Sus scrofa: one gene and its partner. The protein of the gene in region 2 binds, or shares a complex with, the protein of the main gene of each other region. Links are inferred from orthologs where the notes say so. Each region holds a gene or a part of one and is shown on either strand. Other genes may lie near its edges. The genes, in order: LAT2 and STAP1.

The links.
Region 1: the proteins of STAP1 (region 2) and LAT2 are in contact, whole or in part, in a crystal structure (PDB 3MAZ), measured with the Homo sapiens proteins. The link is inferred for Sus scrofa from reciprocal best matches to the Homo sapiens genes STAP1 and LAT2. Residues at the interface, in NP_001304698.1 of Homo sapiens: Arg184, Arg203, Pro204, Gly205, Ser206, Ser212, Ile215, Gln217, Ile219, Lys225, His226, Tyr227, Lys228, Glu239, Leu240, Glu241, Tyr255, Phe256, Glu259, Thr260, Arg261, Asn263, Leu264; in NP_054865.2 of Homo sapiens: Asn134, Ser135, Tyr136, Glu137, Asn138, Val139, Leu140, Ile141, Lys143.

What each region holds. Positions count from the first base shown.
Region 1 is NC_010445.4:11,352,264-11,356,739, reverse strand, and holds the start of LAT2 (linker for activation of T-cells family member 2 precursor), read right to left. Parts: upstream 2,868-4,476; 5' UTR 2,590-2,867; intron 510-2,589; exon of another isoform or gene 428-509; coding exon of another isoform or gene 413-427; exon of another isoform or gene 42-412; coding exon of another isoform or gene 1-41. UniProt on the Homo sapiens protein: Involved in FCER1 (high affinity immunoglobulin epsilon receptor)-mediated signaling in mast cells.
Region 2 is NC_010450.4:65,317,286-65,321,718, reverse strand, and holds the start of STAP1 (signal-transducing adaptor protein 1), read right to left. Parts: upstream 2,859-4,433; 5' UTR 2,633-2,858; intron 1,126-2,632; exon of another isoform or gene 420-1,125; intron 1-419. UniProt on the Homo sapiens protein: In BCR signaling, appears to function as a docking protein acting downstream of TEC and participates in a positive feedback loop by increasing the activity of TEC.

The DNA of each region.
Region 1 (4,476 bases), on a different chromosome or scaffold from region 2:
AATGAGTCAGCTGGAACACGAGAATTTCCAAACCTCGTGACCTGGCGGCCCCCACAGGAGAGAAAGATGACCTGGTCAGCCCAGGATGGTGGCCGAGTGGATCTCGGCCCCCCTCCTCTCGGAGCCTGATCACCGCCCTCTGAGCCCACACACCCTCCTCCCTCCCTCGACTTGGGGGGTCTGCTCCCCGCCCCCGCCAGAGCGTGAGGTTGCGAGCACCTGGCCTTGGAGTGGGGACCCCTGCCCCTGCCTCAGAGTCTCTTGGCCTCAGTTTCCTCCTCTATAAAATGGGGATCAAGCCTGTGTTTCCTCAAACCATTGTTGGGAGGACGAGCATGTCTGGCCTGGCTCAGAAGAGACGTTGCCCAGTGTCTTATTTCCAGCTGCTTGGACGGGTCCCTCGAGCTCCCACCTTTGGCATTTCCATCCTTTGGTCAAGACAGAGACTTTCTGCCCCCGAGGAGATTCAGGCAGAGACACACGGGGAGAGGCTGTCGCACAGATGCTCCCTGCAAGAGCCAGGGGGAGGGTCCAGCCCTGGCCACTCCCGGATTTCGCTTAAGACCCCAGAGCAAGTCCACACCCTTGTCCTGGGGGTTGAGGCCCCAGGACTTGGGCTGCTGACCTCTGCCACCCTCCCTCCCAGAGGACCCCGCCCGTCAGAAAGCCGCCTTGCCTGGGACAAGACGCACACTTCGGGGTGCCCCCAGCCCAAGCCCATTTCTACCCCTGGCCGTGCGTGAGGGAAGGGAGCGGGGCATAAGGTTTCCAATTCTGGCCCAGCATCCCCGGCTTCCGGTTGCCCCTCTGTTAAACCGGGGAAATGACTTTCAACCCTCAGGTTGGTCGTGTGAGGCCCAGCACTGAACTGACGCCTGCCAGGTGCTAGAGCAGGCTAGTGGGGCACAGTTGGCTGGGACCACCATGACTTGCCAGCACCACGGTCCCCAAAGGATGGAAAGCGGCAGCCGCAGCCTGTTGGGGCCAGAGCTGGCTGGACGGCCTGCAGTGAACAGTATGAGGCAACCCTACCTGAAACCTGCCTTGCCTGGTCCCCAAGATCTGCAGGTCTAAGCCCCCTCAACAACTGTCCAACACGGGGGCGGGGGGCGTTGTGCGGGGACCCTGGGAGGGGCTGGGATCTGAAGAGAGTGTGGCCTTTGCCCAGCCCCCCAGTTGTCCAAGACAGGCAGAGCATCACCTCGGAGACGCCAGCTCCTGCCTTCCGAGGGAGGAGAGGGAAGCCCAGAGAGGTGAGTACTCCTTCTGAGGTCACACAGCTGAGCGGTCAGAGCCGGCATCCGCTCCCAGGGTGGGCTGACGCCCGGGCCTACACTCTGCTACGTGAATCCTTCCTTACAGGACGTTTTAAAGATGTACACAATATTTTTTAAAAGACACTCGTTTGAGGAAAACCTCTGTGGCTGCCCCCCAGACGGAATCAATCTGTTCGCTTTCCTCCTTTCCCATCCAGGTCTGAGAGCAGGTGGGCGGGGGACAGGGAGGCGGAGGGGCTGGGCCCCAGCAGAGCCAGGCCTCGCAGCCGCAGGAGGGCCCCTAGGGGCCGGCAGGGCTGGGTGGGGTGGGGAGGGGAGGCCCTCAGCCCGTGGCCTGCGGGGCCAAAATAGCAGAAAGGGAAGTGGGCAGTTTTCATATGAACAAGGTTTGCAACAAGCCGATGGCGGAAAAGCTCTCGGGGCTGGGCTGAGCGAGCCTCAGCACCCACCTCCCGTCCCCAAGGCGCCTTGGTGGCCCTCCTGCCCGGCCTCCCAGCCCTCCTCATGCTGGAGAAGGGGAACCTGGGACCCCTAGGGCCGAAGGGCAGGCTCTGGGGGCTAAGCGGGGAGCCAGAGGTCCGGCCCAAGCCCTGAGAAGGCTTTATCCGCGGGGCTCTGCTCCATTTTCCCAAATGACCTTGGCCTTCCGATGAGGCCAGGAGGACTCCAATGGAGGCTCTTTACGCTCCAGCGGCAGGTGCAGGGGCCCGGACGGCAGCCCTTGTTCTGGGGCAGGGGTGGGGGATGGTGAACAGAGCGGCCACCACGAGCAGCCCAGGGCCTGTAGTTCCTCCAGCCGCACAGGAGCGAGCTGGCTGGGGCTCGGGACGGCCGGGACAGCCGCTTCTCCCTGGCCCAGGGCAGGACCTGGGCCTGCCCGTCTGTAGCGTCTCACCCGACCTCCCATAGCCCTGTGGCAGGGCAGCTCCAGTCCCATTATACAGATGAAGAAACTCAGGCTCACAGGCCTGCCCCGGGGAGCGGCTGCCCTGGGGCTCCCCAGGGCTGTGCGGGCTGGGCTGGGGAAAATGGGGGCAGGAGAGTAGCCGGAGCCCCAGAAATAGCTGCACCTCTAGTGCTGCAGGGTCTGGGGTGAGGGCCCCCTAGCCAGGGGTGCCAGGACAGTGCCGGGGCCAAGGCAGGGGGTGCCGGGCGGCCTGGCTTCTTCCCAGCCCCCACCCCCACCCCCAGCCGGCAGCCAAGTGCTCCTGCTCGGCCAGCGAGGCCACTCCCATCCCCTGTGGGGTGTCTGGGGACAGCTCAGGACCCCTGCCTTGGGGCCAGGCTCCAGGCACCCCTGGGAAAGGCTTACCTGAGAGCAGGCGCTCCTCACTGCGGCCACCTCATCCTGAGCCCACACACCTGCCCGAGCCGATGCCAACGCCACAGACACTGGCGGGCAGCAGGCAAGGCGGCGGGCTTCCTGTCAGCCACTGAATCATCCCTCACACATCCGCTGCTCTGCCGGACAGGCTCGGCTCTCACAGAGGCAGAGACAGAGAGAGACAGAGACAGAGACCAAGACGGAGGCGGAGACAGAGAGAGACAGAGAACAAGACGGAGGCAGTCAGGCAGAGAGAGAGACGTGCACGGACACACACACAACACACACTAAATACACACACACAACCACAACACACACAGGCCTCACAGAGGGGAAGAGACAGAGGGGGACAGGGAGAAAGAGCATGAAATAGGGCTGCTTGCATATCACGCACAGGCAGGGACAAAGAGTGGGAAGACACGGAGAGAGACACGCTGAAAACACAGAAACACAGAAATACACGTCCACACCCATACCCATGGGACATGGGTGGATGGGCGCAGAGAGATGCAAGCCAGGCCAGACATGACAAAGAGCCAGGAGTTCCCGTCGTGGCTCAGTGGTTAACGAATCTGACTAGGAACCGCGGGGTTGCGGGTTCAATCCCTGGCCTCGCTCAGTGGGTTAAGGATCCCGCGTTGCTGTGGCTGTGGTGTCGGCTGGCGGCTCCAGCTCCAGTTGGACCTCTAGTCTGGAAACCTCCATATGCCACCGGTGAGGCCCTAGAAAAGGTAAAAAACAAAAAACAAAAACAATAATAATAATAACAAAGAGCCAGAGGAGTTCCCATTGTGGCTCAAGGGGTTAAGAACCCAACTAGTATCCAAGAGGATGCAGGTTCAAACCCTGGCCCCTCTCAGGGGGTTAATGTTCCAGCGTTACCACAAGCTGTGGTGTAGGCTGCAGATGTGGCTCAGATCCGGCGTTGCTGTGGCTGTGGTGCAGGCCGGCAGCTGCAGCTCCAGCTGGCCCCTGGCCTGGGAACTTCCACATGCCGTGGGTGCGGCCCTCTAGAGAAAAAACAGCCAGAGACAAAGAGAGATGGATGGAGAGGCCACTGAGGTGAAGAGACAACGCTGGAGGATAGAAGGAAGGACAATCCCGGCTCCTCCTTCAGTCCCAGGAGCCTTCTCACCCCCATTTTCCAGATGAGGCTCGTGGAGGCGTGGAGCTGGCCCCAGGCAGGCGGCAGGCCCGGGCCGGGGTGGGGGGAAAGCAGGGCAGTTAGGACCCAGCCCCCAGGCTCTCCACCTGCTGCCCAGCCCCTGGGCACTTCCTTCAGAGGTGAGAACGGTGCTGAGAGGTGGGTGCCCCACACGCAGCACACATTCTCCAGGGCCTCCTGTTATGTGTCACTAAACACCTTGTCCAAGGCCACTGAACTCTTAGTGGCACGCCACCCCATGAGGGTCTCCCAACCCCCACCTGCCTGGCATCTCAGAGCCTGGGCTCCCGAGCTCTGGGGCCCGTCTTGGCTGGGGCGGGGCTTTCAGCCCCAGCCTGGGGTGGCCCGGACGTCCCAGACCAGGCCAGGCAGTCCAGCCGCAGTGGAAGTGCCCCCAGGAGGCCCTGCCAGAACCGAAACAGAAACACAGGGGCTGGGCGCCCTCTGCTGCCACCCTGTGGGAGAGAAGGGTAGCGCAGGGACCCGAGATCCCTGGGCAGAGTGCCAGAAGTTGTCTCCACGGCAAACTGTGACACAAGGACTAAAGCCAACCTTATCTGAATTGCAGAGCTGCACCTGTGACGCACGCTGCCTCCCTCGTTCCACATGGGGCAGTGCAACGTGTAAGGCCCACGGCAACACTTTCCAGGGACACCTTGGCAAGGGCATAGACTAAGAATCCTAGAGGTAAGCTGGTTGTGAACACAGAG
Region 2 (4,433 bases):
TCGAACCTATACTACAGCAGCCCAAGGTGCTGCATGCAGTATCAGTGCTGGACCATTAACATGCTGTGCCACAAGAGAATTCTTCTGTATATTTTAGTCATAGGAATGAATATTCCTCAGAAAAGCATCACTGCCTTCATTGTAGTATGATTTGGTAGTCAGTATTTTTATTTTCCAGTAAAAAGATCTCATGAGCAGAAACCTGGGACTCCTAGAGGTTTCATTAGTGGAGAGCATGTTTCTGAGCAGCTTCTGAACAAATTTTCCTTCCTTCCTAGGGCCACACCTATGGCGTATGGAAGTTTCCAGGCTAGGGGTCGAGTCGGAGCTGCAGCTGCCAGCCTACACCATAGCCACAGAAACACTGGATCTGAGACATATCTGCAAACTTTGCTGAACCTTGTATCAACACTGAATCCTTAACTCACTGAATGAGGCCAGAGATGAACCTGAGTCCTCTCGAATACTATGTTGAGCTGTTTACCTGCTGAGCAAAGCTTTCTTAACAGGTTGATCATAGATCTGGGGTCTTCACTCCTCACTATGGCTCAGCCAGACACCGTCATTTTAGCTCCTGCCTCAGCTCACTTATGGGTGGTGTCAGGACCTACTTCCTCATCAACCGCTATGTCCGAAGACAGGAATTGGGTCCTCAAAGTGAAACTTTGCCATCATATCTTCCATGAATTTCTGCCCTCCAAACCCAGGTTCCACTGTCATAACCAAGGTGCGAAATACTCAAGTGTAGTTCCTGGTTTGGTAGCAAGGCCAACCTTCCTTCCATTCTCCTGAATGTCTTTAATCAAAGCCCCAAGGTCCTCAGTAGACTCAAGATGAAACATGTATTGACTGGTGCCTGCTACAGCCATTGGCTTTACCCAGTGTTCTGGCCTGGATACCATCATGTGCATGTCAGAGAAATGGTCCTGGCCAAGATGCCTTCAGAGCTTTGTATCAGAGCTTTGCACCACAGTGTGACCAAAGGTGATGCTGGGAACAAAATCCTGTCCATTACCTCCAGGTGCAGATAACTGGCCCCAGAGTCCAGCAATCCAGGGCATTTGGCTCCTAAACTGGCCAGGTTGCTTTTGAGGGTGGATAGCCAATCTTGCAGCTGGACACCATGGTGCTGGTTTCCTAGAGCAAATTACCCAACCCATATAGCTTCTTTGATCTGAACCAGACTCTGGTCAAAATTCACACATTGCATTTGGTTTATGTGTTTCCCTCTCTTGCTCTTAATTTCTCAAGTCAAGTTTATTGAGGTATAATTTACAGCAAAGGTCACCCTTTTTTTAGGGGCACAGTTCTAAGAGTTTTGACAAATACATGGAGTCATATAACCACCATCATCATCAAGGCATAAATTATTTCCATCACTGCAAAAAGTTCCCTCCTGGCTCTTTGGAGTCAATATCTTCTTCCTCATCTGGCCTCATGCCCTGGTAAACAATATCTCTTTCTGTTCTTACAGTTTTATGTAGTCACATACGTGCACTGCTACAGCAGATAGCCTTTGATGTCTGGCTTCTTTCAGATGAAACTTTTGAGGTTCATCTGTGTTGTTGTGTGTCAGTAATTTGTTTTTGTTGCTGAGGAGTATTCCATAGTGTGGGCCCACTATGACTTATTTATTCATTCACCAGTTGATGGACATATTGCCAGATTAAGTCAATTAGAAATAAAGCAAACTTTAAGTTGTGACTGCAGCTATGTTATAATCTCTAGAACAAATTTATTTATTTATTTATTTATTTATTTTTGGCTGCGCTCAGGGCATGTAAATGTTCCTGGGCCAGGGGTGGAACCCATGCCACTAAGTGACCCAAACCACTGCAGTGATAATGCTGGATTCTTAACCTGCTGAGTCACAAGGAAACTCTACAGATTGATTTTTTATTTATTTTTTATTTTTTTGTCTTTTTGTCTTTTCTGGGGCCGCATTCGAGGCATATGGAGGTTTCCAGGCTAGGGGCCTAATCAGAGCTGTAGCCACTGGCCTACGCCAGAGCCACAGCAGCTCTGGATGTGAGCCTTGTCTGCGGCCTACACCGCAGTTCACGGCAATGGAGGATCCTTAACCCACTGACCTAGGCCAGGGATCAAACCCAAAACCTCATGGTTCCTAGTCGGATTCGTTAACCACTGTGCCATGACAGGAACCCCCAGACTGATTTTTGAAATGTCATGGTAAGGTCTAAAATGTTCTTTAATAGAGGAGTTCCTGTCAGTGGGTTAAGGATCCGGCGGATCCCTTGTTGCTGTGGCTCTGGCATAGGCCGGCAGCTGCAGCTATGATTCGACCCCTAGCCTGGAAACCTCCATGTGCTGCGGGAGTGGCCCAAGAAATGGCAAAAGCACACACACACACACACACACACACACACAAAATAAATAAATAAATAAAATTAATTTAAAAAATAAAATTAAATTAATTTAAAAAATAAAATAAAATAAAATGTTCTTTAATAGAATTTTACTAATCACAAATTTGAAATTATCTACAACATAAAATCATAAATAACTAAAAGTTTCTACTTCTTTTTCAAGTTAAATTTCTGTATACCTTTTCCTCCATATACACACTAATACACATAATTCATAAATACATAAACACACACATACCACTTACCTAGGTGCAAGTCAACTGTCATAGCAGTTCATTAAGATTGATCTTGATGTATTTTGGATGTAAAGGGATCTGTAAGGACAAAGTCTGGGTTTTATAAACATTACTCCATCAACTAGCAACCTTATTTTAGGATGCCAAAAATGTGGTGGAGCTATGAAGTATTACGACAGATGCAGAGAGCACTGAAAATTTGGGGTGATGCGGACTCTCCGTAACTTTTTGTTTTCATAAGGGTGCTGCTCCATTTTCTCCCTAGAACAAACCAGTTCATTGCCAACACCCCCTGCATTGCATACCAGTATATGTCATCACATTTCAGGTTCCTCAAAATGCCTCTGAGAATTACTATTTCCAGTAATGGAGGGAAGATGATTGTACATATGGAACTTTACTTCTGTGATTGCACTTGCTAAAAGTTCTCATGGAAAGGTAAAAAGAGTACAGTGATTTAGTGCTCAGTTCTGGAGTCAGAATCCAGGGGTTCACCCCCAGCTCTGTCATTTAATGGGGGTGTGATCTTGGGCAAGTTACTTACAGTCTGTCCCAGTTCTGTTGTCTATAAAATGTTTTCTCATAGGAATGTTCTAAAAATTAAATAGGTTACTGCATGGAGAGTATTTAGGGTAGAACTTGCTGTACACTATGTGCTCAATAAATGGTAGTGTGTGTTATCTATTCCAAATCTGAGACCAAATTATATAATGTAGCACAGTTTACAAAACTTCTACTAGGTCAAGTCTAAAAATCTCCATAATAACACTCATAGCATTATTTATTGAATTCTTGCTATGTTCTAGGCATTTCTACTAGGTCTTAAAAGGAATTAATCCATATCTCAACAACTTTAATGTTATTCCCCTTTTAAAAACAAGAGAATCGAGAAAGTTATAGTTTAATTAACCTGCCCTTTATATTAGTGGAGTAGAGTGGAAGCCAGGGTTGCCTGATTTCAAAGTTAACTTTTAATCCCTCTTCCCTAAAAAAAAAAAAAAAAAAAAAAACTGAGTAGGCGATGACATTTGTTAAAGCATTACAAGTTAAAAAAATCTATTTGCTCAGCTCTTGAAGCTCTTTTTTTTTGTCCTTTTGTCTTTTTAGGGGTGCACCTGTGGCATATGGAGGTTTCCAGGCTAGGGATCTAATCAGAGCTACAGCTGCTGGCATACACCAGAACCACAGCAACGTCACATCCAAGCCCCATCTGCGACCTATACTACAGCTCACGGCAACGCCGGATCCTTAACCCATTGAGTGAGGCCAGGGATTGAACCTGCAACCTCATACTGCCTAGTCAGATTTGTTTCTGCTGTGCCATGATGGGAACTCCTTGAAATTATTGATTAATAAATTTATTCAATAGGTAATGTATTTTATTATGTATTTATTGACTATATTCATTACACTGTACATTTCATACCTGTGATTCATTTATTTTGCAAATGAAAATTTGTATCTCTTAATCTTCCTCACCAATTTCTCCCCTCCTGCCACACCCCTCCCATCTGGGAACTTCCTGTTTGTTCTCTCTATAACTGTTTCTGTTAAGTTTGTTTTTTTGTTTTGTTTTTTAGATTCCACATATAAGTGAAATCATACAGCATTTGTCTTTCTTTGTTTCACTATTTCACAAAGCCTAATACCCTCTAAGTCCATCCATGCTGTTAGAAATGGCAAGATTTCATTCTTTTTTGTGGTCCAGCAGTATTCCATTGCACACACACACATCTTCATTCATTTATTGATGGTAACTTAGGTAGCTTCCATATCTTGGCTACTGTAAATAAAACTATTATGAATATTG